Canis lupus familiaris: one gene and its partners. The main gene of each other region encodes a partner of the protein of the gene in region 4 in a complex. Links are inferred from orthologs where the notes say so. Each region holds a gene or a part of one and is shown on either strand. Other genes may lie near its edges. The genes, in order: THUMPD3, METTL5, THUMPD2 and TRMT112.

Region 1 (7,540 bases), on a different chromosome or scaffold from region 4:
CAGACAGGTATAGCAATAATTAAAAACAAGTGCAGTGACAGAGTAAGTACAAAATGCTTTGGGTTGGGGAGGCAAATGAGAGACAGCTGGAGGGTTGGGGTTGATGTGAGAGAGGGTGCCATTTGAGCTAGGTCTTGAAAGATACATAGGAATTCAGCAAGTGAGAGAACAGGAGGGCTTCTCAAGCAGAGGGAATAGCAAAGTTCACAACATGCAGTTTTCTACTACTTTAGAAAAGCATTGGATTATTGCATTGGATTGTCCAGTTTATTGACAATCAATTGAAATGATTTTCCTTTTAATCATTTCATTTTTTTGGGGGTGCAGTTTGTTACTTTGGTTTTAATATATATATACTATTGTCTTTTAGGGGGCTACTGAATGGTCTAACTGTTATCATATTGCTGGTGATAATAATCCGTTGGCTGTGAATAGAGCAGCAAATAACATCTCATCTTTATTGACCAAGAGCCAAATTAAAGAAGGGTAAAAACCTAATTTAAAAAGTTTTGTAGCATTTCTTAGATTTAATCATGTTTCCTATCAACTTTATGAATTAATACCCCCAGTGCATGGTGACATCATTATAACTAATATGAGCATACTGTGAGATTCCATTAAATTTAAAACCGTTTATTAAAAGTAACTTAGAAAAATATTTTATTTAACTATATTTTCCCCACCCAGTGCAATTAGTTTATTTCTGTCTTCCTTTTTTCTTTCATTTGTATTATCTTTTTTCCCAAATGGTGGAAGAATATTGCATTGATCCATTTTAGTTTTCCAAATTTTCAAACACTGAGTTTTTTCTATAGTCTTTTTAAAAATGACTGCATATTTGTGTAGAAATACTACAGTTATTTAGCCTTTCCTGTATTATTTGGCACTTTAAGGCAGTTTCAGGGCTGGAGGAAAGCCATCTGGCTGAAAGCCATCTCCACCTAAATGTCCTATAGGAAATCCTGACCAATGGCCTTCCAGTCTGTGTCACCATCTCTAATGACGGTCTCTGAAGGCTGTCAATTCCATCTTTGCTTAGCTTGGAGTACTAGTATTGTCTCATAGTGAACTGAGTTCCTCTCTGTACCTTCTAGAGTTTAGTCCCATTTGGATCCCTAAAGAATCTTAGCTCTGTGTCACATAATGCTTGACATCAGACATTTGAAGGGCTACCAAAACTCCCCCTCCTCCTATCCCACTCCAAATCCTTCTGCAAGCAATATTTCAGAGGCCTTCAGCTGGATCCTATCTGTGCACTGGAATTCCATTGGCCTCTGAGAAATGTTTTTGTCTTTTTTTTTTTTTTTTTTTAGTCTGAGCTATCTATTGTTATAGTATCTTAAGCCCTGGCCCACTGTTTCATGTTATGTTCCATGATGCCACCTGTGCCACCCTTTCACCATTCTTTCAGTTTCAGCTGTCTTTGGGAGAATTGGTTGAAATGTCACTTGGTCTTCAGTTTCTTACCAGAGGCCTCATCATAAAATTGTTTCTGTGGTCTCCTCTGCTGGTGCCTTTTTCTTAGAAAGTGGCAGGAGTAGGCAGTGGTCAGCAGTTTTGTTCAATCATACAGATACTCCATATTCTGAATACATAACCAAAGAAAGTCATCATACTCTATAATTGGCCTTATCAAACCTAGAAACAGCTGCCTGAATAACCCTTAATTAAGGTGAGGTTTATATTTGTAACTAGAAATCAGTGGTTTTAGAAAGTATCTATCTCTTTGATGCAGATATTCCTGTTATTACTTAACACATGGGATGCCTCATACTGTTTTATGTCTGTATGTTGGTTATCCTCCTTTTGTGCTAAATTTTCCGCCTTTTTTGATTAAAATCAAAATTTAATTCATATATTGTTTATTCTGGGCTTTGATGCTCATGGCTTTTTTTTTTTAATTTTTATTTATTTATGATAGTCACACAGAGAGAGAGAGAGAGGCAGAGACATAGGCAGAGGGAGAAGCAGGCTCCATGCACCGGGAGCCCAATGTGGGATTCGATCGCGGCTGGGTCAAAGGCAGGCGCCAAACCGCTGCGCCACCCAGGGATCCCTCATGGCTTGTTTTTTATTTCAATTTCCTATTGAGGTTTTTAAACTTGTTATTTAAATTTTAAGTTATATGCTATAAATGTTTTAATGATAAAAATTTTTTATACCTTTTATGCTAATAAGCACTCATTTTGAACATACCCTATAGATTTGTACAATTCTCTATTTTGGTTTCTTTTTACATCGTTGGTTATGTACTTGTCTATGTGATCTAGTTGTCTAGGGCAGTGCTTTTCGAAATTTAATGTGCATGTGAGTCACCTGGGGATCCTGTTAAATACAGATTCTGATTCAGTAGTTTTCATATGGGACCTGGAAGTTTGTGCTTGCTAGTAAGTGTATAGGTGATACCAATGCTGCTGGGCTGTGGTCCAACTTTGAATAGCAAGGCGTTTACATCATTTTTTGCATAGAAGTAGTTGAAAGGTTTTAATTCATTTTACATTTGTTTTATTGATGAATTTTCATGGTACATTTTGTTGTGTTTTTTTTTTTTAAGATTTTATTATTTATTCATAAGAGACACACAGAAACAGAGAGGCAGAGACACAGGCAGAGGGAGGAAAAGGCTCCATGCAGGGAGCCTGACGTGGGACTTGATCCCAGGTCTCCAGGCTCAGACCCTGAGCCGAAGGCAGCGCTAAACCACTGAGCCACCTGGGCTGCCCTACATATGTTTCTTTAGGTCTTGTTAGTAAGTGATCTACCATACTTTATTTTTATTATTTTTTTAAGATTTTATTTATTCATGAGAGACACAGAGAGAGAAGCAGGCTCCATGCCAGAAGCTTGATGTGGGACTCGATCCTGGGACTCCGGGATCATGCCCTGAGCCAAAGGCAGACGCTCAACCACTGAGCCACCCAGGCATCCCTCTATCATACTTTAGATATGTCACCTCATAATCTTTTTTCCCCATGTTCACTGATGCTTTACATTCTCAGTTATATGGTTTACTGTTTCATTACTATCGTCAGTCATCTTTTGCAGTTGTGTCAGTCTTGTTTACTCCTTAATCAGTTTTCTTAAGTTGTAGATGGAATCAGATATCTTTTGAAACCATTTTTTAAATTGTCACTAACAGATTTGGTCATTAGAAGTTTTATCATGTGACCTTAAGCTTTCTTCCTACATTTTGCTTTAAAAATTTTGGTTATTAAGTTAATGTTGTCATTGAGATTATTTTAGTAGCATTTTATATTTTATAGCAGTCTCTTCAGAAATGTTTTTAGATTTCATACTTCAGAATAAGCACCTTTCCTTTGTCCCCATAGCAAAGTGTCCTGGGGCTTGCCCATAGATGCTGTTCAGTGGGATATCTGCAATCTGCCATTGAGAACTGGCTCTGTGGACATTATTGTAACAGACATGCCATTTGGAAAAAGGTAGGACTTGGCTTTTAAAAAATGAATTTTATCTTCACCTGTTAAACATACCCATTTTGTCTTCTAAGAGCTTATTCTATCAGAAGCCTTCAAATCCTTTTAGTACTTAGAGCACTTTTTCACTTCAGAATTATAAATAGTATGATGGAGTCACCAATTTTGTTTTTAGTGTAGAAATTAACTATATTTTGATCTTGGCCATCACACCTTAGTCCACTTCCTGGCCCATTGTTGAATTACAGGATACTTCACAAAGATTGAGGAAAACGGTACTAATTTTCAGGAAAAATGTTTTCTCATTGGTTTGGTTTACATAATCTGTTTATTACAGTCATTAAGAGGACAATTTATGAAACTATTACAGTTGTCAAAGTTCTGTAGTCAGTTCATCTCTTTCATATTTCTAAGCAGTTTACTAATATATCAGATTACTCATTTTATTGGCACATTACAGCAAAGCCATGGCTTCTAAAGGGCAATTGTTTTGTAGATTTCAGGATTTTCTTATTGTAATGAGGATGAGTTCTTAATAGTTTCTCATTTCGTATAGTCCTAGATGTTTATCTACTGTTTGATTCACTGGATCTTCTTTTATAGGATGGGCTCCAAAAAGAGAAACTGGAACCTTTATCCAGCTTGCCTACGGGAGATGAGCCGTGTCTGTAGACCAGGGACAGGCCGAGCTGCACTACTTACTCAGGACAAGAAATGCTTTGCCAAGGTGCTGTAAATTACCCCAAAAACTCACCCTGTCACAACTTTAGGATCTTTTAATTTAAACTTAGGGATACTGAGTATGATTTGTTTTCTGTTCCCCCATAGTTTCTTACTGGCAAATAGATTGCTGGTTGGTCTACAGATTACCTGCTACTTACTTCTTTCCTTTTTATGTATACACAGGCATTATCTGGAATGGGACATGTTTGGCGGAAGGTACATACTGTCTGGGTGAATATAGGGGGTCTTCATGCAGCAGTTTATCTTCTGAAACGTACACCTCAAGCTTTTATTCATCCTTCAGAACAAGATGGGGAAAGAACTCCTTGGTGATGCAAATAATGAAGACGGTTAATGGTATCTGTACCTCCCAACACAGGGAATGTCAGCATGATGAACTTGGTTTAAGAGAAAAATAGTGTTAATAAAATTGCAGCTTGCAGTTTAAATTGGTCTAAAGCTCTTCACCTTTGTTAGCAAAAGGGGTGAATGGAATTTAAAGTCTTAGGCAGAGCTTTGGAACTCTTTTTGACAGACTGGCCAGGTAATTACTACTTAAAATTTTTTCAAGATCCTAAGACTACTAAAATGCTCTGGGATTTGGGTTTTGAGTATTTATTTTCAGGCTTCATGGCAATTCCTTTTTTCCATTGTGGGAGATAGAAAGCTACCCTGGCCTAAAGGAAAGGAAGAAAACAGCCAGAACATTTGGGGCCATATTGCATTGCCTATGCAGTTTTGCTCTTTAGTTTCTCATGTTGGCTTTACATCACCCTTTAAAAACAAATGAAACATTCCATTTTATGAATAGTGTTTGCCCCATAACAAGATGAAATCTTAGGGATCCCTGGGTGGCGCAGCGGTTTGGCGCCTGCCTTTGCCCCAGGGCGTGATCCTGGAGACCCAGGATCGAATCCCACATCGGGCTCCCGGTGCATGGAGCCTGCTTCTCCCTCTGCCTGTGTCTCTGCCTCTCTCTCTCTCTGTATCTGTCATAAATAAAAAAAAAAAAAAAAAAAAAGATGAAATCTTAAAAAAAAATAAATAAATAAGATGAAATCTTACCAGACCAATTGGAGAGTTTACTATCTGCCCTAAAAATCAAAATATGCATGCTATTAAAATTAATATATAAAACTAAAATAGAGAACTAAGATTGATCAAAGGAATTGGCACATACTTTACTGTTAGCAGTGTGGTACATTTCTGTTTGTTTTTAAAGATTTTATTTATTCATGAGAGACACAGAGAGGCAGAGACACAGGCAGAGGGAGAAGCAGTCTCCATGCAGGGACATGGGACTGGATCCTCGGTCTCCAGGATTAGGCCCTGGGCTGAAGGCAGCACTAAACCGCTGAGCCACCCGGGCTGCCCACATTTCTGTTTGTAAAGAACAAATACACTGGTAGGTTAAGTATCAGACCAATAAGCCAAACTTGAGTACACAAAAGTGGTGTTCCTTTCCCTTTTTTTTTTTTTTTTTCCTTTCCCTTTTTTAAAGATTTTATTTATTCATGAGAGACACAGAGAGAGAGAAGCAGGCTCCACGCAGGGAGCCCGACATGGGACTCAAGGACCATGCCCTAGGCCAAAGGCAGGTGCCAAACCACTGAGCCACTCAGGGATCCCCTGGTGTTCCTTTTCAAAGTCCAACATAAACTTGTCAAAAGTATTTGTTGTTTCTTAAAAGGAATAGAGAACATACTGATGTGTCTTTGAATTAAAAACTTTATAAGGAGTGCCTGGGTGGCTCAGGTCATGATCTCCAGGTTCTTGGATGGGGGCCCCACATTGGGCTCCCTCCCTCCCCCCCTGCTCAGAAGAGTCTGTTTCTTCTACTTCCCCACTCACACTCTCAAATAGTTTTTAAGAAAAAGCAAACTAAATGAGAATTCTTCTATTTTCTCTTGGACCTATATTTGTAGTTAGCTGTTTTTCCAGCTGCTTAAAGTCCTTTCTGAGGTGGTGGAAAATAAAATGAATATTAGTAAGTCCTTGTAAAAATGGTACTTCCCTGGGACATAGTAGTTGAGGTACATGTGGAAGTCTTTATTCAGTTTCAGGCTATATTCAGCTTAGATTTACAGTGTCGTGTTAGTAATATATTAGTACTACTCAATACCTTCTTAGATATCTCACATTTAGACTAAAAGGACATAGCATTTCTTTCCTTTGAAAGAAGAGAGTTCATATTAGCAGCATAGCCAATAGTCCTAGTTTGGTTTCTCTCTGATCTACTACCCCACACTTCAGCATGAATTAGAGGGAAGACACTTACAAGGGTTTTATATTCTAGACCGGAGTTTTTACCATCAGAACACATAGTTGCACTATTTTGGGTTCACCATAAAATAATCCTTCACCTCTTAATCATTTAAACTTCTCTGTTGGGTCAGTAATCTGCAGAAGTGGTAAGGAAAAGGACCATGTCTGTTTTCACCACTGTTTATCAAATGCCTGGCATAGTATCTGCCAAAGTGGACATTTAATATTTGCTAAATAATTGTTATTTTTGCATGTTGGTTTAGTTTTTAAGTATCCCAAATTTGTGCTTGACCCATCATAAGCTTTAGTCCTATTAAATAGCAATGTAAAAACATGACCAGATTGGTTTTAGGATGATGCAAATATGTTAGTGAGCACTCAGCAAGCTTGCTATCATCCTCCCTACTATTATGTTTTGTAATCTGGGGACAGGAACAGGAAATGGGCTAAGGACTCTGAAGAGCAGGGATTGAGCTATACGTGATGCAGTCACCAACTAGTTATGTGACCTTGAATTGGGCCTCCTGTACCACGGGAATGCAAAAGAAGGGGAAGGTAATCTTTATAATCTGAGCACAAAATGGCCAAATTACCTGCCAGACATTCTATTATTGTAAGAGTCAATATACTTTAGAAGGGAAAAAAATTAACAAAGATTTTATAAATTTAATGAAAGTAAGATGGTTATCTCCCAAAGACTGACCATGTGCTAGAGCTAGAAAGGGAAACATTTGTTCTAAAATTTATTTTAGGGACGCCTGGGTGGCTCAGCAGTTGGGCTTCTGCCTTTGGCTCGGGGCATGATCCCAGAGTCCCGGGATGGAGTCCCACATCAGGCTCCCTGCTTGGAGCCTGCTTCTCCCTCTGCCTGTGTCTCTGCCTCTCTCTGTGTATCTCATGAATAAATAAAACCTTTAAAAAAATTTCTTCTAAAATAGTTTAAACTTTCAGGAAACTGCCAGAACTGTAGATTGTGGTATATCAATGTCAGATACTGCTCAGGTCTCCACTGCATGGACCAAAACTTGAAAAGTATTTTAAAAGGTCCATAAAATACGAGTACAGCAAAGCTATAAGCGTTTAATGTTAGTGAGCTAGCCATAGAAAAAGACACCCCC
Region 2 (6,670 bases), on a different chromosome or scaffold from region 4:
CCTATTTTCACATTATGTAATCTTAAATGCCATGTACTAAACCTGATGGACTTAAGAGATGCACTGTGGTGCATCGTGCAATTAGTGTTAACTTTTTAAAAAGTATTTTTTAACATGATTTTCTTTCCCTTTTTTTTTTTTCTTAAGATTTTACATATTTATTCATGAAAGAGAGAGAGACAGACAGACATAGGCAGAGAGAGAAGCAGGTTTCCTACAGGGAGCCTGATGCAGGACTCGATTCCAGGATCCTGGGATCACAATGTGAGCCGAAGGCAGATGCTCAACCACTGAGCCACCCAGGCGTCCCTAACTTGATTTTCATAATTGCTCTTGCTCTTGGGTTTCAGAGGTTGTAGAATTTTCTCCTACTGTAGAGTACCACTGTAGAAAATTCTATGAACTTATTTCCACAAATTCTGGTTTACCTTTTTTTCCATACATGAATGGTAAAATCAATACAAGATTGGAATGGACATCAGGTTTCTTTTTGTTCTGAAATTATTACTGATGGTTGTGCAATTCTGAATATACTAAAGACCGCTGAAGTGTACACTTTTAAAAGGTGTACATTTTATGGAATTTGACTTTTTTCGTAAAGCTGTTATTAAAATAACTTCCTTGGCATCTTTTGAATTTTTAGGTAATTATGTTTCTAGAAAGTGTAATATTCCTTCTTGTGTTTAATTCATTCAAAATAATTTAGTCTTATTTTTGTTCTCATGAACTCAGTCCCTGTATTTTGTCTTCTTTAGGGAAGATTACTTTGCCAAAAAAAATGAAGAAAGAAAGCAAAATAAAGTAGAAGCTAAATTACGAGCTAAACAGTAAGTACGTTGAGCCAGTCATTTTAATTTCTTAAAGCTTTGACAGAGATAGTGGTTCTAGGAAGTGGAGCTTGATGATGAGTTCTGAAATGAGTAGCAGTAGGCTTTTGTTTTGCTAGTGAAACATTAAGATCTTAAGCTGCCTTAATAATCTGGGGGCCACAGTGTTGCACTCTAGCCAGGAGCAATCAGAAAGCCTAGTGACTGCCTTTGATTATTAAGCAATGTGTGATTATGATCAAGGTTAACTTTATCAGGGGATCCCTGGGTGGCGCAGCGGTTTGGCGCCTGCCTTTGGCCCAGGGCGTGATCCTGGAGACCCGGGATTGAATCCCACATCGGGCTCCCAGTGCATGGAGCCTGCTTCTCCCTCTGCCTATGTCTCTGCCTCTCTCTCTCTCTCTCTGTGACTATCATAAATAAATAAAAATTAAAAAAAAAAAAAAAAAGGTTAACTTTATCAGGATTTAATTTTCTCATACAGTTAATGGAAAGATTCTAATTACCATTTCTTTTGTAGAGAGCAAGAGGAAAAACAAAAGTTAGCAGAAAGTGCTGAAATAGTAAGTCTGTATTTTTGGTATCTAAGCTATAATTCAAATTTATGAGAATAAAAAGTGAGAACTTTTTGAAGCAAGTATGTGAACAAGTCTGTAGTTTTCATTGTACTAAAGTCATAGCCCAATAATACTGCCTAAAATCATTACCCAGAGAAAGAACTTGTAACTACATTTTTTAAATAACCAATATATCCAGCTAGGTAAATATTATATTGTTGAAGAAATAAAATTTTAAGTTACCATCAGAAGCCACTGTATAATAAGGGATGCCACAGGAAAATGCACTATTAAACTACTTTAAAACAGCATTTTAGTTTCTAGCTTTTCCCATGTATTAGGTATAGAGTGGTTTAAGCCATATCTGGTTTGTGGTTGCTTTTAAAAAACTTTAATGCTTTGTATGTCTTTACAGAAATCTCTAGAAGAAAAGATTGGCTGCTTGCTGAAATTTTCAGGAGACTTAGATGATCAGACCTGTAGAGAAGATTTGCACATCCTTTTCTCAAGTCATGGTGAAATAAAATGGATAGACTTTGTCAGAGGAGCAAAAGAGGTTTGGAAACATTCATAGGCTTTTTAGCAATCAGTTTAAAAATCCATAGAAGGGATCCCTAGGTGGCGCAGCGGTTTAGCGCCTGTCTTTGGCCCAGGGCGCGATCCTGGAGACCCGGGATCGAATCCCACATCGGGCTCCCGGTGCATGGAGCCTGCTCCTCCCTCTGCCTGTGTCTCTGCCTCTCTCTCTCTCTCTCTCTCTCTGTGTGACTATCATAAATAAATAAAAATTAAAAAAAAAAATAAAAATAAAATAAAAATCCATAGAAACTTAACTTTTAGAAGATAACATTACTAGCGACAAAATTATTTAATAATGTGTTCATGAAATAGTTTTTGGTCTTTTACTTTCCATTTTGTTATTGCCATCACTGGACGTGATGTCTCATACTTTTTGAGTTAGGCTATAAATAACTTGGTATTTGTGACTGCAAGTTTTATGATAACTCTCTAAAGTTCAGTTAAAATTCATTGAAACTGATAATGGCGGAGAAGATTTGCAGGGCAGGAAAAAGTTTTGAGCAATGGAATTAGCTATGGTACTAAAAAAAACCTTAAGGGTGTGGCTTTTACTGTCTTTGGTATAGGGGATAATTCTATTTAAAGAAAAAGCTAAGGAAGCACTGGATAAAGCCAAAGATGCAAATAATGGAAACCTACAATTAAGGAACAAAGAAGTGACGTGGGAAGTACTAGAAGGAGATGTGGAAAAGGAAGCACTGAAAAAAATCATAGAAGATCAACAAGAATCTCTAAACAAATGGAAATCAAAAGGTCATTAGTTCTGATTTGTCTTGGACTATTTGGTTATTTTAACTCATTTGCTTGTTCGGAGACCGTGACAAAGGACTTAAGACTTTTATGGATTTATCAATTATGTTTTTATAGGTCGCAGATTTAAAGGAAAAGGAAAGGGGAATAAAGCTGCCCAGACTGGGTCTGCTAAAGGAAAAGTACAGTTTCAGGGCAAGAAAACTAAATTTGATAGTGATGAAGAACACGATCAGAATGGTGCATCTGGTAAGTTTTTCTAAGTCCTTTGGTTCTTTGATGAAAAATTATTTGTTATTTCAAAATTATTTGAAAGGACAGCAGTGTGGTTTTTCACCTTTGGTATAAGTGACTTTTGGATTGTGATTTACCCAAGTTATCCTGTTTTACAAGTGGAAAAAAAAAAGATGTTTGGAAGATAAGTTTAGAGAGAAGATCTGTACCAAAGGAAAAAGCCTTATTGTTGGTGTTGGGAAGTTGTTGCTTTTCAAACAATTATTTTGTTAATTATGCTCACTATTAAAAGAGTAATGCTTACATAGTGAACTTAACAAAAATTCTTTATTGAATTGTATAGGACCAGTAAAAAGAGCAAGAGAGGAAACAGACAAAGAAGAACAACCTACACCAAAACAACAGAAAACAGAAAATGGTGCTGGAGACCAGTAATTTAGTAAAAAAATTTTTTATTCATCTTAATTAGGTTTTAAGCTGCTTTTGTCTTTAGAGGCTTTTAAAAAGAAAACCGAATTAGGTCCACTTCAATATCAACCTGTAAGAAAGGAAAATTTTTGTTGTTGTTTAACTTGTCTTTTTTTGTTATCCAAATGAAGACATTTTTTTTAATGTATAGTTCTGTTTGTGTTATTTCAAATATCAAAAGAAAGATTCTTCCATTAAATTGCCTTTGTAATATGAAAATGTATTAGTACAAACTAATAAAATATGTACTATATAAAAAGAGCAAAAACTTAGTTTTTTATTTTTGTGCCTAAAGCATTTGAGAAAGAATATCTTGAACCAGGATATTGGCTGTTATCACATCGATAATTATTCTGTCTCCTTGGCTAGCTTTCTGTATTTACTCAGGCAAGTTGATAACATTGTAAATAGTTACTTATTGAAAAGTTCTTCAGTACTGAATGCAGATAAGCCAGAATCCAGAGACTTACGGATTTCTTTTTATGAAATTTGTATGATGCTGGCAGGTCGTATCGTAGCTCTAGAAAACAAAAGTCATCTAAGAATAAAAATTCATTTGTCAACCCTGACAATACATATATTACATATGTAAATTCTTAAAAATTAAGGAAGTATTTAACCCTGGTAAGCAGAACATTTCAGACCTGTCACTTTAACTTACCCAGAGACTGACTTGATATATTCTCAAGTCAGCCCATGGCTAACTGAGGTTGGCATTTCTATTTGGTCATTGATGCCAAAATTAGAGGTTATGGGGAAGAATTTGAAAGGATAACAATTGGACAGAAGATGATCATACCTTTCTATTTTTAATTTCATAATCTATAGCAGTAATAATCATGCTTATTTTTAAAATTTGTCTGGATTTTAATACTGGTAGTATTTTCCTACTGAGCTTTCAAGTGATGATAATCCATTTTTCTTACTCTAAGAAATACTAGGTTCTCCAAAATTACTCCTCAGTTTAGAGGGATGGCAGTACACTCCTATCATTCATATTTTGCAGCATAAATTCTCTATAGGTTACAGCTCTCAAATTTTACTGTGCAATCAAATCACCTTCAAATCTTTTTTAAAATGCATATTGTAATTCAGTAAGTCTGTGTGGAGCCTGAAGTTTTGCAAGTCTTCTACGGGATGTCAATACTGATGTTCTGAGGACCACATCTGGAGTAGCAAGGTCCTGGCTTGGTATACTTGGAATGGTTCTGAGGTGCTCCAGGCTGCAAGTTCTAATACCTTAAACTAGGTAAGGAATGACAATACTGGATAAATAGGACCGACAGACTTTTTCCACATTACATTACTAATTATGAATAGGACTGGTTATATGGTTAACACTACAGTGCTAATCCTAGTCAGTTTATTACTAAGTAAAGAATATTTTCCTCATGTTGTACTCTTATTTCAGGCCTCTAGAATTATTTGGACCATAGTTGGCTTCTAGTTATATGTTTTTCCCATTTTGATGTTTGTGAATATTACCCAATTTACTAATAAAAATGTATCAAATATTTACTTATAGTGTGGATGATTATATCCTATCCCCCGTTAAAAGAAAAAAGCTTCATGTTCTCTGACTCTAGGGACGATTAGAAAATTGAAATGGAAAAGGTAATCAGGCATGATCTGGTGGTATTTTCCATGAATGGGTTTTAAACAGATCTGACCCCTCCAGGCCCAAGCTCTTACATCACGACAAGTATACTGTCTGAGCCTGGAGTGGCCAAATAGTTGAGTGCTAATTAGGAATTTTCCATAAAATGCATAAATTGGGACACTCTTAGGCAAACACTGACACTCGGCCTTTACTTCATTTCCAACCCATTACCAACCTTTCACATTTTGCCAGGCTGAAAACACGTTCTATGGCATCTTAGCACCTATAAAATTTTGGATGGGCTAATGTATTACTGGCCCTAAATAATTAGGGTTTAGATTTATTTTGTAAGAAACTTAAAAATTGTCTTACCTGCAATAATATCTATCTTGATTTTCCATTCTGTAGCTTTCTTTTGAATATGCTAAAGATAATACGTTAATGTGAGCTGATTTTTAAAATAATTTGAGAATTGTTTTGCTAATACTTCATATTTTTTAAGCCTTTAAAATTTCATTAGAATTTAGACTTTAAAAAGAAAATTATTTATTTGACAGCATAAGCAGGGGGAGCAGCAGACGATGTAGGGCTCAATCCCAGGACCCCCAGAATCATCACCTGAGCTGAAGGCAGATGTTGAACCAACTGAGCTACCCAAGTGTCCCAGAATTTAGACTCTTAAAAAATTTTCAAGTGAACTGGTAGTATTTTGAAAATAACCCAAGCCATTTTAATACTATAAGAGTACAGCTAAGTAATGGTATAGGTTATGAAGCTGAACTCAAATACCTTGACCAAGATAACACAGGGAACTGGTAGTTTGGATTTGAACGTAGGCAGTCTGGCTCTACAGTCTGTGTCCTTGATCATTATGTTATATTGACCAAAAATACACCAAATTTTCTGTTTTCTTCTATACCCCCATGTGTTACATAGGTGGCAAAAAGAATAATGGAACAGGGAGATTCTGAACTCAGCTCACTTTAGCTCCAGGCTCAGTGTTCTTAAAAATCAGGTCTTACTGCCTCCATTATGCACAAAACCACAAAGGGACAATGGGATTACTAGGATTTAGGCAAACTAGGATATACTATAACCCTAGCTATACCACACTTCTCTACTGAAGTTCATGTAATCTCTTGGTAAAAGTTCCTGCCAGAGCAAATCTTTGACAGAAGTCATATAGGCTGGAAGAAAACTAATGCTAGCTAGTCACAGGGAAAATTCAGTTTCTAAGTGCCAGATGTTTAAAGAATTTAGAAGAGATACCCTGGTAATTAGCATTCACAGCAAACCCATAAAACGCTGTCATGAATTTTGAAGTAAAATGATTTGAACTTACATCTCTAGTAGAGGATTTGTGTAAAGAGTATACTGCTGTTCTTGCCATTTCCAAAGCAGTCTTCAGAAATGCCATATCTGTCCCTGTTAAAAGTAGAAAAAGCTCATATTTACTTTATATACCTGTTATCAAAATAGTGGATTAAATGAATACCAGGTATTTAAAAACTTTTTCCCAAAACCAAAATAGACACTTCAAATTCTTCCTGCAAAAAGACAAGATGCAAAAAAGTAGAACATGTATCTTTTAAGATTGATAGAATAAAACCATTATACTATCTTGTTTAAATAAGACTAAAATGAAAATTTTAATA
Region 3 (8,677 bases), on a different chromosome or scaffold from region 4:
GATGAAATAACAGTCTTATTAAAGTAAAAACAGTTCTGTTATCAGCTAGTATAGCTAAGGAGTTACCATTTTTGCCCTTCTTTTAAAATTCAAGCATTCCAGTCTAACACAAAAATGGAAAACTTCAAGTCTAGGCAAAAACATGTAGAAAAATAGAGAGATATCAAAGTTATCCTAATTCTACAGATGTAATTTAGTTTTAGAATTAATTTTAAATTGCTAGGTGAAGAGTTGAGGTGGCACATGAGCTTTTTTGATTCATTTCAGAAGAATTAAAAAATATATTTTACTTAATTAAAAAAATTCAATCTACAAGAAAAGTTGAGACTCTTAAAAAATCAATCTTATACAATTATCTCATTAAAAAAATAACTATGAAGTAACCTGATTATCTGGTTAGATTCTACCCCACCACCGTCTATGACCAAGACCCCACTAAAAAATTAAAAATCAGTTGTCTTCTTAAGGTTCAGGACCCAAGTTAAAAAGTCTTTGCTATGTGGGTTTATAAAAACCAATTAATCCACTGACAGGGCCTTTTTGGCTAGCTGGCATTAGGTATACCTTTATTATATTGAGTGTTATCTTAAAAACATTCTTGCTATTATTGTTATAGTAAATAACAGTATTAAATACACTAAACACCGTTATAAAATAAAGCTTGACTTTTCCCCATATATTTCTTTAAGATAGTCCAGGTAAAATAAATATATAGTATGTATGTATATAAAATATATTATACATAATAAAATGTATAATTATACAATATAGATTAAACATTTAAACATATCCAGGAACCTATAAAGAAGTTGGCTCCACCACCAGGAGGAAAAATAAATCTAACCTGAATCTGAACAAACTCTAGATACAACTTACAAGATTCCAATTTACAGGAAATAGAGAGGACAGAGAAACATGCTAAACTACCACATGGAGATATAATTGGCATTACCTAGGACCAGTGGAAACTTCAATGGTGCTATCCAACAACATTTGGTGATGATTCAAATGTTCTATAACCTGTGTTCTCCAACGCAGTCACCACTAGCACATGTGGCTTCTGAACACTTGAAATGTGACTAAGAAAGTGAATTTTTAATTTTAATTAATTAAAATAGCCACCACCTCCTATTGGATAGCACAGCTCTAGACTAGAAAGGGGCCAGAAAATGATGCCTGGTGAGATAAGAATGGTCTTTACATTTTTAAAGGGATATAAAAAGAAACAACAACAACAAATAATATGTAACAGAAACCACAAAGTGATCCACATATGTGATCTACAAAGCATAAAATATTTATTATCTGGACCTTTAAAGAAAAAGTTTGCCGACCCTTGCTCTATCTAGACTATAAACAACCCTGCTTCTTTAACAATAATAAATCGCTGGGGGAAAAAAGAGAGGTGTAGGGAAAAATCTATAGATTAAAAGGACTTAAAATATATTTTTTTTAAAAATAAAAGAGACTTAAAAGATTATCAGTCAATCATTATGTGTGGCCCTTACTGGACTCCTCATTCAAATACACAAACTTAAAAATGGCGTTTTGAGACAAGTTGAAATTTGAACAGTGATTTGATAAGAAATTATTTTTAGACATGATGATACTATGGTTTATATTGTAAAAAGAGCCATTATATGTATTATCTCTTCTATATTATACCATATATAAGTCCTCTTCTTTTAGATATACAGTAGTCCCGTTATCCGTGGTATCATTTCCTGTCAATAGTGTAAGGTCAATAGCATAAGGCCATGTCATGATGCCTACAATCATAGTCCTGAAGCTCCACCCCCTTTTTTTTTTTTTAAAAGATTTTATTTATTTACTCGTGAGAGACACAGAGAGAGAGATGCAGAGACACAGGCAGAGGGAGAAGCAGACTCTCTGTGGGGAGCTCAAAGCGAAACTCAGTCTAGAACCTGGGATCACGCCCTGAGCCAAAGGCAGGCAGGCACTCAACCACTGAGTCATCCAGGCGCCCCTACCACCTTCCTTCTGAAGTACCATCAGAGTCAGTCAATAGTAGCCTAAGGTCACGCACTTCACTTCATCTCATCACTTTGTCATCTAACATCATCATAAGAAGGGTGAGTATGGTACAATAAGATAATTTGAGAGAGAGGGCAGGAGAGTGAGCAAGAGACCACATTCACATTTTTTATTACAGTATAATTGTCCTATTTTATTATTAATTGCTTACTGTGCCTAATTAACAAATTAAATTTTATTATGAGTACATATATTTAGTAGAAGACAGTATATATAGAATTGGTACTACCCATGTTCTCAGGCATCCACTAGGGGTCCTAGAACGTGTCTCCCAAGGATAAGGGTGACTTACTATATAGGCAAACATTTACAGATGAAGTGATATTTTGAGTTTACTTCAAAATAACATGGAGGAGTATTAATGGATCAGAATTCACTACGGGATTGTGCTTGCAGCCAGTCGATGAGTACATAAGATTCACACTATTCTATTTTTGTTTGAAATTCTCCATGATGAAAAGCTATACAGAATGCACAGGATGTTTTCTATTGCAAGCTGCATGTTTGAGGAAGCACCTAAATCAGTGACCTGAGGGGAGAAGAGTTTGCAGGAAAATGCAAATGACTGGGCTTGTGTACATTCCTACTGAAAGAGAAGTTTTTGGGGGTGGCCACTGGGCCATGCATTTTCAAAAAGCACCCTACATGACTCTTAGGTTCACTAAAACTGGAGAAACACTGATTAGAAAGGTGTGATTAATTTGTAAAAGTAAACAATCACTTCTAAAATAATTTGTTTTGTAAATTCAGATTTTACAATATTAACTTTCTTGCAGCAAACCAGTTTCTAACAGTCTCGTTACTGCGTGAATGATTTTAAGAATTCCTGTGTAACTCACTCATTGGCAATATTTACTGATCACCTATTAATTGCAAGACATTGTGTTATACATGCTATGGATCTTTACCTCAAGGATTGCTTTAATCCTTTAAAGTAGGTATTATCATCTCCATTTTATATCCAAGGAAAGTAAGACTCAGAAATTTGAGTATGTAGCCCAAATTTAAAAGAAGATTAAGATTTGAACATGTCTTTGGCCTCTAAAGTCTTCATACACTCTTTTCCATGCTGTTACAAAAATGACCTACATGCTTTGGGGCAGTTCCCCACTATAATTTAATGCAGTAGTAAAGCACATGGCTTCAAAGCAAGAAAGATTCAGATACAAGTCCCAGCTCCACCCGGTAGCATCAGTTTTCTCTTTACTTCTTTGTAAAATGGAGGGAAAAATGACCTATCACATAGGATTCTTTTGAGGATTAAGTCGTACCCAATGTACATAAAAGCATCTGACACACTTTAAGTGCTTTATGTTAGATGCTATCATTATTCTTTCAAAATTGCCTTAACTTTGAGAGTTTATATTAGTGAAACTGAGATGGAATTTCAGAGGTTATTTGTTCAGATCCCAGTTCCAAGTATATCCTTAAAACATACACAATCAAAATATGGAAATTCCAAAATCTCTTGACATTTAATTCCTCCCATTGCCAATAAGTCTATCCCTCTAATTAATTGAAATTGGTTTTTTTTTTTTTTTTGGCTGTGATGAGCCCCCTACTCACCCACTGTGCACTCTGTATCTCCTTTTGTCTTTAGAGAGGATGGGGAACAAGCAGAGAGGATAATTTTTCTAATTAGACATACTCCAATTGGGGTAAGCCTTCCATTTTTCATACTAAGAACTCTAAGTTAACATTAAAAAAAAAATCAGTGCAGCATGATGTAATGGTTGCACAGGAGTCAAGGAACTGGACCCAGGTACCTGGCCTGTCTGGGTTGGACATGATTATATACTTATACCTAAGCTCATGGACAGCTTGGGTTTGAATCCCAGGTCTGCCACTTTACATGACTTGAATAATTTATTGGATTTACCTGTGCTTCATTCTCCTTTTCTGTTAAATGTAGAGCCTACCTCATATGGTTGTTGTGAAAACTAAGCAGGTGAATACAGAGTAAGGACCTAAGAACGTGGGCCTCACACACAGTAAATGCTTCATGGATGTCAGCAGATCTTATACTGTTGCTTTTTTTAGATTATCTACATGCAACACTCTATTAAATTCTGGGACCCAAACCACAAATGGATGGTAATCTAAGACAGATGCCATTTTTTTTCATGACCCCCTCCCTGTATCATCCACGCCCCCAACACCCTCACCGCAGAAAATCCTTTTGTGGCTTCCAGCTCTGCAGGGCCTGCTAGAGTGGCACGGTCAATTTCATTCAGTAAGTTTTCCTTTTCCTAAAACACCCATCATTCACACGGTCATAGAGAGCCCATCAAGTTACTGGAGTCTGTTTCTACGACATCTGTTCCCTCCGCTTTCATGAACCAGCTCAGCATGTTCTAGAACGGAAACTCACGTGGAAAAAACCTTGTTCATTTCATTGAAATGAACAGAAAATACCAGCAACTGTCAACTTCCTCCAGCAGTTGGACTATGAGGCCTCCGAGACGGTATCGCTTTTGCAGCTACTGTGAATCGGTGTTTTATTTTATTTCTTTAAAGATTTTATTTATCTATTCATGAGAGACACAGAGAGAGGCAGAGACACAGGCAGAGGGAGAAGCAGGCTCCACGCAGGGAGCCTGACGTGGGTCTCCAGGGTCACGCCCTGGGCCGAAGGCAGGTGCTAAACCGCTGAGCCCCCCCGGGCTGCCCTGAACCGGTGTTCTGGGTGTACTTGACGTACCCTGTGTCATACAATCCTTCCAACAACCCTGTGAAGGCAACCCAGCCATGGTCAGGAACCTTGACAGGGTCAAGTGACTGAGCCTGAGGATGGCATTTGTATTTAAAGGGTGGAGGAAGGCTTCGGACTCCGACGGATCTAATTCCAACCACAGGCACTGTCCTGTACCCGCCTTTAAAGCATCCGAGGAAATAACTTGCCCCAACCCCGCCCCCCCCTTCTAGTAAAACGACAGGCGTGAGAGACGCGCGGTAACAGACGTGGAGGGGACAACGACTGGCGGTTCTCTCCAGCAGGCATTAAAGGATGTGTCAGGACTCCGAGGCCCGGGGCTGTCGCCTCTGCGGGTCCGCGGTTTGCGAGCTGGGGCCTCGCGTCGCTTTCCAGGGTCTACACGGGCCTCGGCGCGGAGGGAGCCCGGGCGGCTGCAGGGCGGCCCTCCTTCCAGCCGGGGCGCGCAGCCAGGCCGACTCACCTGCGTGGCCGCCAGCCGCGCTCGCACCTCCCGCATCAGGAAGGGCTCCAGGCCGCGGCCTGCGGTGCAGAAGAACCGGGCGCCCGCTGCAGGCCGGGGGCCGGCATGTGCCGGCGTCGCCGCCATGTCTGCCTGCGCGCGGCCCCGCCCCTCGGGGTCACGTGCCCGTGGGGGTCACGTGACCTGGCGCGCGGCGCGTCCCCGTGTCCCCCGCCGTGGGGGCGGGCGGGGAGTGCGTGGGGGGGTCTAGTGGAGCGCCCGGCGAGCGCGCTGGGAGGCCACGGCGTGGGGGGGCCTGAGGGGGGCGTCGGGGGCCGGTCCCCTGGGAGCGGGGGCTGTGGGTCTCCTGTGTTAACTGCTCGAAACTTGCCTGATTAGGCATCTGAACTACTTAGACTCGCAGGTGGATGGGATACAATTGGGATCCGTTATCGGATCTATAAAAACGACTGGTGTCATCTAACCCATCTGCCTTATTTTTGAAATTGAGGAAGTTGACCCCTAGGCAGGCCGAGGCACAGTTAGTGGCACAGCTGAGGCTCGTCTTGATACCCAGGATAATGAGCTCGCTTCCATTTCTCCCAACTTTCCCCTCTCCCCTTCTCCATCCTGTCCCACTACTCTCCTCAAACGAGGAGCCCTCTTCCGTCTTCACCAGGAATTGGGCCAGAGCTGGGAATCCTCGGGATCAAGAGCAGAAATCGCCACTCTGCAACGGAACGTTTTTATGTTCATAAAGCAGGTCACATTCCTTGCACTATTAAGTCAACCACCAAGGTAAAGAATGCACCATCTAGTTTGGGCCACCCAACTAAATTGGCTCTCTTAACAGTATTTGAAGAGGCTTCTTGAATTTTGAATTTTCAACTGGCAATGAAAATATTGCTTGGGAGGAACAGAATCCATATTACAAGGCTGACAGCATTACGTTAGTTCTGTGCGTATATGAAGTTATATAGAAACTCTTAAACGAATGACTATCTTTCTGGCAAGTACCTCTCATGTGCTTCCCAATGGGACCTAGGCAAGTAACAGGTACTCCCTCTTTTCCTCCCCACCCCGCCCCACCTCTTGGTCTACTGGGACAGTAGTAAAAAAATTCTTATAGAATCCTGTAACACAAGCATTTCAAGCTTCTGGTCCTAAAACTTCTCAGATCCTTTCATTCTGGCAAATTCCTCCCTCCCTTCCTTCCTTCCTTCCTCCCTCCCTCCCTCCCTCCTCCCTCCCTTCCTTCCTTCCTTCCTTCCTTCCTTCCTTCCTTCCTTCCTTCCTTCCTTCCTTCCTTCCTTCTCTTTTTGCCTTCAGACTTACGTTCTCATTCTCTCGGCAGTTGACATAGCTCATCCCAACTTCTTTATGCTTTGGGGTTCCTGACACTCAAGTCTGTTTGGGGAGACCCTTGAGACCCCTTTAGTACTTTGTACATTCTGTACCCAAGATGGTGAGCGCTCAGACATAGTTCAACAAATACTGGACAGCCACTCTCTGCCAGACCTCCTGCTAAGTCTTGAGGATATTAAAATGAGTAAGCAAGGGTTTGGACTCTAAGGGGTTTAGAGAATGGTGAGATTGATTTAGTGAGGATGCACCCAGGATGCTGTGGCAGTACAGAGAGGCAGCAGAGAGGGCTTCCTTATGAAAATGACTCCTGAGCCAAGTGTTGAAGGTTGTATTAAGTTACATGACTGTGGAGATGGGGGGTAGGAGTGGGTGTTAGTACTGGTGTAGCCTTTCAGGTAGTAGGAGCAGCATACATAAATGTGACCATGTGTGTGGTTGAGGGGTTGGGGGCAGAAGGGCCACATCAGAGGGTAGATGTTATTAGAGCATATGAGTTAGGAAGTTAATAGAGATAAAGGTAAAGAGGTGGGTAGGGGTAATGTTATGGTGGTGCTGCCCATGGTGGATGAAGAAATGACTTTTCTAGTGTAGGGCTGCCTAGCAACATGCTTTCCTGGACAGAACCACTACTGAGCTGAGGCTGTAGTCCTATAGAGCCAGTCTTCCCCTTATATCCTCTTTCCCCTTCTTCTGTTGTCTTTCTGCCACCAGGAGCATCTGGTCAGCAAGGGCTAGGGGCTAACTCTTGCTGAAGCTGGGGCTTGGGGGCAAGTGCATTTGCTCACCTTTGGGCCTTGCTGCAGCACAGAACTTCTAAGAATGCCTTTCACATGGTGCTTGAGATGAGGTGAAATAGGTGAAGTTTTGCCTGTATAGGGAGAAAATGATTTTCTGAGAGGAGAATTGCCTGGGATTCTCTTCTCATTACTCAAATACTCTTTCCTCCATCATTTCTGCTTCTCATTAAAATATGTCTCTACTGAAAAAGAACCACTGATCCCTATAGATATTTAGCATATCCAGCTGAGTTTTGCTGTTTCAATATTGCATATTCAACAGGTAGGAAGTTGGCAGTTGGCAGGAACAATTTTACAACAGATATGCAATTAAATGGGAGCATTTTAGGAATTTAGGGCATGATTATTTGCTTCAAGATCTCCATATTTTGGTGCAGTTGGCAATTCCTTTAGTTCTTAAAAGCATTTGATATAGGGGCACTTGAGTGGCTCAGTCAGTTAATTGGCTGACTCTTGATTTTGGCTCAGGTGGTAATCTCAGGGTCGTGGGATTAGGCCCCATAGGCTCCACACTTAGTGTGGAGTCTGCTTGTCCTCACTCTGCTCCTTTCCCCCCTTGTGCACTCACACGGCTCTCTCTCTCTTTCTCAAATAAATAAAATCTTTGAAAAAAAAAACATTGATATATGTACTTAGATATTAAAATGCAAATGCTTTAGGTTGTAAGATCCTTGAGGATGGGGGGCAGCCTGGGTGGCTCAGCGGTTTAGCACTGCCTTCAGCCCAGGACATGATCCTGGAGTCCTGGGATCGAGTCCCACATCGGGCTCCCTGCATGGAGCCTGCTTCTCTCTCTGCCTGTGTCTCTGCCACTCTCTCTGTGTGTCTCCCATGAATAAATAAATAAAATCTTTTTTCTTTTTAAAAAAAGATCCTTGAGGATGGCATGACCTCATTGATCTGAGCATCCATAACAAGCACACTAGCTTGCCTGTGGAAGTTTCTCAGTCAATGTATGCTGAATTGGATGGAATATAACTAAATGGAAGGTCACTCACAGAAGAGGTCCTAGGAGGGATTCCAACAACCACCACACCAGAAGGGCCCTTATGAGTGAGATATGGGGATATGAGGCTAATGGAGGACATTGAGGGGATAGAAGGACACCAGAGATAACCTTCTTCATGATTTTGTCTGCTACTTCCCCTCCTTCCTCAACATCCTTTTAATCCACCCCACATACTTTATTAATAATGTTCCTTAACTAGGAATACTTGTCTGAATGACCTTTGGGGTCTTTTCAAAATGTCATGCTTGCCTATTCCCCTCCCTCACCCTCCATGTTCTGTTACAGTTGAGTGGGGT
Region 4 (7,313 bases):
AGGTCATGATCTCAGGTTCATGAGATTGAGCCCTATGTCCAGGCTCCAAGCTCAGCAGGGAGTCTGCTTCTCTCCCTCTGCCTCTCCCCACCCCCTACTACCCCCCAATACACCTGCGCTCTCTCGCAGATAAATAGATCTTTAAAAACAAAAACAAAAACAAAAACAAGGACTCATTGAAAAGCTGAAATGTTTATTGCAGAAATTTGGTCACAATTCCCACTGGGTGGACCTCGTCGAAGTTGGAGCAGAGTGGGCCCTTTGTCCAGGGCTGGGCAGGTGCAACACACGAAAGAGTAGAAGGAGTATATCTGGGCCCAGGCACTCAGAGCTGCGAGAGGATGTTGGGGGCCAGGCTGCAGGTGAGGCCTGTACCATCTGGCTCCACATTCAAGGACTTCACTATGCCATTCTCTATCACCATAGAGAACCTGCCAGAAAGAGAGACGGCCAGGGGCGCTTGGGTAGTGCAGTGAAGCATCTGACTTTTGGTTTCCCCTCAGGTCATGATCTCAGGTTCATGAGATCAAGCCCCTCATCAGGCTCTGCACTCAGCATGGAGTCTGTTTAAGACTCTCTCTCCCTCTCCCTTTGCTCACTTCTGCACACTTGTGTGCATGCTCTCGCTCTCTCTAAAATAAGTAAATCTTTAAGAGAGAGACACCAAGCCAATTACAACAGCCTAGGCCTGAAGGCTGGGAATGGAGGTCGAAGGGGTGCAGGGGAACCCCACAGAAGACCCTCCTACTTTTACCTCTTGAGCCGATGATTTCCAAAGAGAGATACCAATGAATCATCTAGTAACAAATCTGTCTCCTAAAAGAAAAAGCAGAGACAAGGCTTAGAAACTTCCAGAACAGACCAAGCCCTGTCCCCACCAGCTGTCCCTCACATTATAGCCATGTCCCTCCCAGTTCCTGTATCCAAGGCCCGGCACAGGGACCACCCTCTAGTGTGGGGGTTGCTGGTGTGCACTCACCTTCCCAAAGGCCCCAGTGGGGTCAGCCAACAGCCTAACCTAAGGAGAAAGTAAAGGTCAAAAGAACAATCCCCTGCCTGGCCCCTGACCCCCTGCAGGGCCCACATCTCACCTTGCCTCCTGAGTTATGAGCTCGTCCCCATGCCTCAGTCACGAAGACATCATTAACGCTCAGACAGGCTATCACCTGGACCCCCTTGGCCTTCAGAGCCTCAGCCTGCTCCATGAATCCTGGCAAGTGGGTCTAGGAGGGGAAATGAAGGGTCAGCAGAGGGATAATTGCCTCTGCTCATTGGCCTACCCATTATCTCCAGGAAATCCTCATTTCCTTTTGAATATCTTTGATCAGACCGTTAGAAACGCATAAGCCACAAGGAAGCTCAGGTCCAAACTCGAGTGTTCGGTAGTCACCATGAACTTCATCCCAGGGACATGACTATACTTTATTTACCCAAGCACCTTCCATGGTGCCCATCCATGGTGCCCATCACCAGCAACATCAATAAGACAGGTGGGACTTAATCACAAGACCCTTTTCTCCTGCATTCCTGATGTCACTACCTTTTCACCACCTCCACTTATTTTCTGAGTGCTCTGATAGGCCTTCTGTCACCTTATCTATGTGTCCTCGTCGCAAGCTGCCCTAGGACTTAGGAACAATACAGATGTATACACAAGATTCCAACCAGGGAGTCCCAGAAGGGTGGTCTCACCTTGGAACAGCCAGGGGTAAAGGCCCCAGGGACTCCAAACAGCACCCCCTTCTTGCCCTTGAACAGCTCTGCCAGGTTCACCTCGTTCCCAGGCTCCCCTTCAAAAACCGTCACCGAAGGGATGGCATCTCCCACCTAGAGGGAATGGCTTCATGATTACTTTGGTTACTTTAAAAGTGAGCAAAGATGACTAGAGATAGGCTAGACAAGGAAATAAGGAGTTGGGGAGTGAGGGGGTGGGTAAAGAGGCCAAAGGAAAGGTGTTAAACCAGACCAGGCAGTTCCTTCTAGTGGAGCAGAGTTGACAGACTTGTAACATCCTAACCAGCCAGTTTCCAGCGATCCCTCCCTGCCACCCTACCTACCCTCTTCCCCCCACCGCCTGATTACTCCACATCCTCCAGGTTTCAAGATGGCCCTATTCCTTTCACCGGTTTGTTGATGACAACAGAAAATGGAGGAGGAGGCCTCCCTGGGTGTTGCAAGGGATTGAGTAATCAGGGAGTCTCTTTCTTACCAGAAAGAAGTGGGATCTGCAGGCAGGGGAGGAGATGCATGGGGCCTATCTAAGGGGTGAGGAGGAGACGCTGACAACAGGGAGGGAGAGGCCCCTGGCCAGGTCTGAGTGTCCAGCGCTCAGGAAGAGAAAAGGGGAGACCAGCAGAAGGTGAAAAGTTGGGGAGGGGGAATAAAATAAAAGGAATTTCTCAAAGGGGATGGATTAGTCTACTTAGGAAGAGTGTGTGAATGTTTCATGGAGCCAGAGGAAATACGGGAAGGGAGGACAAATCAGGGAGTGGGAGGAAGATAAAGGAGGAGGAGGTTTCAGAAGAACGTGGAAGGGTTCCCAGGATCATTCCAGGTGAGGGTTTGAAAGACTCGGCAGAAGGGTGGGCATGAGCTGCGGGAGAAGCGGAAAGGAGGAGACAAAACAGGGGCTCTAACGGAAAACACTTGTTCCAGACGATGGGGTGAAGAGTGATGCCCCAAAAATATAACAAGAACGTGCAGGAAGGTTTGCAGGGGAGGGGCACGTAGGAGGGTTGAAGAGCAGCCCTGCGGCAGAGGAGAGGGCCGGTTCCGGAAGGCGGAGGAGACGCCTACAGATGGTGGAGACCCATCTTGGTGCCGCATGGTGGAAATGGGAAGGGGGCGAGGGGAAGGCTCGAGAGCTCTGGGGCTGTCCAGTGGATGGGGTACAAGTCCCCTAAAACTGGCGAGACTGCAAAAGGGTGTGGCTGAGGGAGAACCGCAGGAGGAGCGTCCGGCGCGGCGGGCAGGGGTCCTGAGGGCAGGAAGGAGGGGGATTCTCTCCCGGGAGGACGGGCGGGAGGGGAGCTCAAGCTGGCCCGGCCAGCGGTCACCTTGATTGGGGCCATGGCGGAGGCGGCGCTTCTGAAACCGTGGGCCCCGCCAAGCGTCCAGTCCCTGCCTCGCTGCCGCACCCTCCGGCTGTCGACACTGCCTGTGCTGCAGACCCGAAGGCAGCCGCGGGGACGAACCCGGAGCCCACCGGGCCGGTCAGGGCGTCCAACGCAAGCGGCCGCACGCCGACCCCGCCGCGCACCACGGCCCGGCCCCCGCGGCCCAGGCGCGGCGAGGGGCGGGGCCCAGCAGGATAAGCCCCCGCGGGATCCCGCGAGAGGCGGAGCATCAGCGAGGCCCGCCCACGGCTGGGCTCCTCCACTGCGCAGGCGTCGGGGCGCGAGCAAGGGGCGGGGCTTCTGGGGCGCTCGGCTCTTGGGCGTCTGGGGCTGGACAACCAGGGCAGTTACAAGCGGGCGGGGCTTTCGACAGCCGCGCGGCTTATTTGCGTGCAGGGATGGGTTGTCGCTCTCGTGGTGGGCGTAATTTACGGATTGACCGCAGCGTTTCCTTACCCGGAAGCGAGGGGCGGCAGACGATGGTGCCAGGCCGCCCGTGTAGGAGAAAAGCATGTTTATTTTGCATTCAGCAAAGGCCCCTGCGCTGCGGCGGCTTTACACGTGATCTACACTGAGCGTGATCTGTAGTGAATGGAAGCCACTGGGGCTACGCCGCAGTCCTCTGCCAGGCCGCTTCCGGCAGCAGCGCGTGACCCGACCAAGCTCTTCAAGCCCCTCCGCCCCGGCTGCTCGGGAACTTGCAGCATGCCGGCCACTTCCGCTGGCCCGAGCCGTCCAATAGGACAGAGACGGGAGCGGTTCCGGAAGTGACGCGAGGAGCGTCTGCTTTCCTCCGGTTCCGGCCTGGGGAAAGCGCGTTGCCGCGACATGAAGCTGCTCACCCACAACCTGCTGAGCTCGCATGTGCGGGGGGTGGGGCCCCGTGGCTTCCCTCTGCGCCTCCAGGTAACGGCGGGGGGGCGGGCTCGCGGCCGTGCCCTGGGCGGAATGGAGAAGCCGGGCTCTGGTCCCTAACAGAAGCCCTCCACCCTGCAGGCCACCGAGGTCCGCATCAACCCCGTGGAGTTCAATCCCGACTTCGTGGCGCGTATGATACCCAAGGTGGAGTGGGCGGCGCTTTTGGAGGCGGCGGAGACCGTGAGGACCCTCCCCCACGCCCGTGTTCACCTTCCGGGGGAGTGGGGCGGGGGGGAGTGGTCTCACCGCCAGCCCAGAGCGAGGGGCGGGACGCCCGGAGATGACTTAGGCCTTTGCCCACAGTTGCATCTGGTCGAGGTACCCAAAGGGCCGATTGAAGGGTATGAGCATGATGAGAAATTCCTGAGGCAGATGCACCACGTGCTGCTGGAGGTGAGAGCAAGCCCATCGCTTGCTTCCCCGGCCACCCAGCCACAGCCCGAGGCTGCGGGTACTCAGCTCTGTTCCCCGCTTCCCCGCAGGTGGATGTGTTGGAGGGCACCCTGCAGTGCCCAGAGTCTGGACGTCTGTTCCCCATCAGTCGCGGGATCCCCAACATGCTGCTGAGTGATGAGGAAACCGAGACTTAATCGTGCCAGATACTAATTTTGAAGTCTGTAACTGTGTATGTTTCTGTTTATATCTAGCCTATTTGCTAGTCCGTCGTGTATCCCCACCCGTGACCCAGTGACACACGAGAAACACGATGTTCTTGAGCTCGATATATTTCTTTTTCTCATTAAAGGTTCAAAACCAAAAGCGGTTTCTCTTTGCAGCAAATATACATTAAAATAGAGTCTCTGTACAGCCAAGGGCTCTGGGCCCTGGCTTGCCCTATGTCCCTGCACCTCCCTGGCCAAACCCAAAAATAAATATAGTGTTATTGCTCTGCAGGGCATAGAGGCAGTGCTCTCACTACCCCCTGAGGAGGCTGGGTGGGAGCTGATGGGGGGCCATGGCCACCCCAGGGGTCCAGGGGCTGGAGCCTGCTTGGAGTTATTGCTTCAAGGGGGGGGGGGGCAGTAATGCCCAATGCAAATGATGAGGAGAGGAGCGAAGGGGGCAGGGGCCTTTGCTCTCCAAATCCCCCTCTGCTCTGGAGAGGGGGTAGGATTAAGCAGCAGCAAAAGCATCACCCACTGGGAGACTGTTGCCTCCACTCCCTTCCCTCCCTGAGATCAGGCTTCTGCCCCCGCCCCCAACACACACACACATGTCCCCTGCAGCCCCCTATGGCTTCCGCAAGGCCCCCGACACTCTGGGGGCACGTTATGGCTTGCAAGGGGCAGCACTGTGCCCAGAGCCTGGGCGCACACATTCCCAGCTTCTAAGACCCCCTGGGAGAGAGGAGGGGAGGGCGTAGGGCCTGTTCCCAGGGGCTGATGATATTGCCCTGGCCCTGCCAGCAGGCTGTGGCACTGCCCAGACCCCAGCTCTGCCCCCTTGGGGCTGAACCCATTCCGGGCGGGTCCTGCCAGCACCCCCACCCATGCCCACCCCTTGCCTCAGTCCATCATGGCCTCGAGCATCTCCAAGAACAGCTTGTGCATGGGCACCTTGCCCTCCAGCTTCACCCCGTAGAAATGGGCCAGCACTTTGCCCGCTGTCTGGCGTAGGAGCGGTAGTGTGAGCAGCAGCCTGCCTGCCCGCCGCCGCTCAGCACCCCCTCCGGGGCCTGCCCGGCCGGCTTCATATTCCAGCAGGGCCTCATGTAGAGCTTCTCGCAGCTGCTCCACAGCCTCGGCATCCTCAATGTGCACGGAGTCTGCAAGGAGGGGTCAGATGCTGTTGACATGGACCATCTCCAGAAATGGCTAAGCCCACATCTGCTTGAGCACTGTGGGATGGGGCCTGAGGAGGAGCCAGATGCAGATCCGATAGGCTTATTGGAGCACCACTCACTGCTCCTGCCCATGAGCCATGGCCCACCCTTTCTTCCTCACCTATGGCCACCTTTTGTCTTCCCCCCACTTCCCTCCCACTGAATCGTTCACCTGTCCACATAAGGATGGCCCTAGAGCTCCAAATCCTACATGTAGTTCCTGGGTCTGCCCTCACCTTTGGGACTTGAAACAAAACACTATTCATCCCTAATCCCCAATTTTTATCATCTGTGAGATGAGATGGTGCCACAATCAGGGTTACAGACTAGAGGGCCTCCTGGAGACACCTGTCACCATGGACTCACCTGAATTGGCAAGGGCCAGAGCCTTCAGCAGGACATATTCCTCACGCTCCAGCCTCAGGGCCTGCAGTCGCCTCACCAGCTGCAGCAGGGCGGCCCCAAGTTCCCCCAAGCCAGCTGCTCGTGCCCCCTCTTCATCCAGGACCAGGTCCTCAGCAAAGGCCAGCTCATCCTGCAGTGGCAGTGAGCGCTGGGCCACACCCAACACCAAGACCTCCATCCATACACTCTGCAGTACTGACATCTGGTCAGACAGTGACAGTGACGAGAAGCCTGGAGGATAGTGGGAAGCAGACCTGGCTGAACAAGCTCACCAGAGCCAGGCATGGCCTGGCCTACAGAGGGAAGCCCCACATCACCCCGGCCCTTTACCTGGGATACTCTTGGCCCAGCTGATGGTGACCACAATCTCTCGGTCAAAGAGGTCACAGAGGGTAGCCACAGCTGGGAGGTGTCCGTCAGGGCCCGCTGGGTCAGGCATGGCATAGAGCTTCTCGGGCTCTACCACCAGCAGGTGAGACACCAGTGCATTTACAGGAGCTGCAGTGACAGATGGAAGAGGCACTCGAATTCATCCCCCTGCAGGCCCCTTCAGGGTCAAGTGTCTTGCCCAAATTAGTTCCCCTGCAGCCTTCCTCATAGCCACTGGCCAGCCAGGCCTGGACACTGCTCTCGGGAAGGGCTCTCACCATCTCCCAGGGAAATCAAGTTCATGGACAAGTTCTGAGTATGAGAAAAATCTTTCCCGGTTCCCAGGTGTACTACTCAGGGACTGATTTAAAAAAAAAAAAAGGTATTTTTAAAAATACTTCAGGGAGATGTATTGCCAACAAATGAAAGGAAAACCGAGAGCCCAATGCCCACGATACCCATCCTGGGTGACAGACACCTAACAGGCCTCTCATGTCCTGGCCCCATCTGAACCTGAACTTCGAGGACCCATAGCACTCTCACCAGTTTTCCGAGGGCCTCCAGCTACTGCCAGGGGTCCAGCAGGGAAGGAGCCTGGGAAGGGTAACGGGTCCACCTCGGGCCGCCGCTTGTACTTCTGGCGCCCACCTCGGACACGGTCCAGACGTACTCCTTGAATTTAG

Evidence for each region.
Region 1: TRMT112 (region 4) and THUMPD3 share a complex: the UniProt entries of both Homo sapiens proteins name them as parts of the heterodimeric THUMPD3-TRM112 methyltransferase complex. The link is inferred for Canis lupus familiaris from reciprocal best matches to the Homo sapiens genes TRMT112 and THUMPD3.
Region 2: the proteins of TRMT112 (region 4) and METTL5 are in contact, whole or in part, in a crystal structure (PDB 6H2V), measured with the Homo sapiens proteins. The link is inferred for Canis lupus familiaris from reciprocal best matches to the Homo sapiens genes TRMT112 and METTL5. Residues at the interface, in NP_001359000.1 of Homo sapiens: Met1, Lys2, Leu4, Thr5, Leu8, Leu9, Ser10, Ser11, His12, Phe21, Pro22, Leu23, Pro34, Val35, Asn38, Asn40, Phe41, Arg44, Met45, Lys48, Glu92, Arg111, Gly112, Ile113, Pro114, Asn115, Met116, Leu117; in NP_001280115.1 of Homo sapiens: Asn52, Lys53, Val54, Gly75, Leu76, Val78, Ile82, Leu87, Asn91, Thr100, Ile102, Asp103, Met104, Val105, Gln106, Cys107, Asp108, Asn114, Arg115, Met116, Ser119, Phe120, Asp121, Arg150.
Region 3: TRMT112 (region 4) and THUMPD2 share a complex: the UniProt entries of both Homo sapiens proteins name them as parts of the heterodimeric THUMPD2-TRM112 methyltransferase complex. The link is inferred for Canis lupus familiaris from reciprocal best matches to the Homo sapiens genes TRMT112 and THUMPD2.

Annotation. Positions count from the first base shown.
Region 1 is NC_049241.1:8,846,610-8,854,149, reverse strand, and holds the end of THUMPD3 (THUMP domain-containing protein 3), read left to right. Parts: intron 1-370; coding exon 371-486; intron 487-3,329; coding exon 3,330-3,440; intron 3,441-4,037; coding exon 4,038-4,161; intron 4,162-4,340; coding exon 4,341-4,490; 3' UTR 4,491-4,606; downstream 4,607-7,540. UniProt on the Homo sapiens protein: Catalytic subunit of the THUMPD3-TRM112 methyltransferase complex, that specifically mediates the S-adenosyl-L-methionine-dependent N(2)-methylation of guanosine nucleotide at position 6 (m2G6) in tRNAs.
Region 2 is NC_049257.1:14,778,897-14,785,566, forward strand, and holds the end of METTL5 (rRNA N6-adenosine-methyltransferase METTL5), read right to left. Parts: intron 6,441-6,670; coding exon 6,358-6,440; intron 5,440-6,357; coding exon 5,388-5,439; intron 5,299-5,387; coding exon of another isoform or gene 5,282-5,298; exon of another isoform or gene 5,251-5,281; intron 3,936-5,250; coding exon 3,799-3,935; 3' UTR 3,486-3,798; coding exon of another isoform or gene 3,447-3,485; 3' UTR 3,383-3,446; downstream 1-3,382. Other genes in the region: SSB (lupus La protein), read left to right, coding at 756-827, 1,348-1,390, 1,800-1,940, 2,530-2,716, 2,831-2,962, 3,291-3,382. UniProt on the Homo sapiens protein: Catalytic subunit of a heterodimer with TRMT112, which specifically methylates the 6th position of adenine in position 1832 of 18S rRNA.
Region 3 is NC_049238.1:31,897,108-31,905,784, forward strand, and holds the start of THUMPD2 (THUMP domain-containing protein 2), read right to left. Parts: upstream 5,377-8,677; 5' UTR 5,358-5,376; coding exon 5,232-5,357; intron 1-5,231. UniProt on the Homo sapiens protein: Catalytic subunit of the THUMPD2-TRM112 methyltransferase complex, that specifically mediates the S-adenosyl-L-methionine-dependent N(2)-methylation of guanosine nucleotides, most probably at position 72 (m2G72), in the U6snRNA of the major spliceosome.
Region 4 is NC_049239.1:53,258,531-53,265,843, forward strand, and holds TRMT112 (multifunctional methyltransferase subunit TRM112-like protein), read left to right. Parts: upstream 1-3,528; 5' UTR 3,529-3,572; coding exon of another isoform or gene 3,573-3,629; 5' UTR 3,630-3,944; coding exon 3,945-4,022; intron 4,023-4,112; coding exon 4,113-4,427; intron 4,428-4,516; coding exon 4,517-4,624; 3' UTR 4,625-4,793; downstream 4,794-7,313. Other genes in the region: PRDX5 (peroxiredoxin-5, mitochondrial), read right to left, coding at 326-431, 755-816, 980-1,018, 1,092-1,223, 1,693-1,827, 3,573-3,629. UniProt on the Homo sapiens protein: Acts as an activator of both rRNA/tRNA and protein methyltransferases. Together with methyltransferase BUD23, methylates the N(7) position of a guanine in 18S rRNA.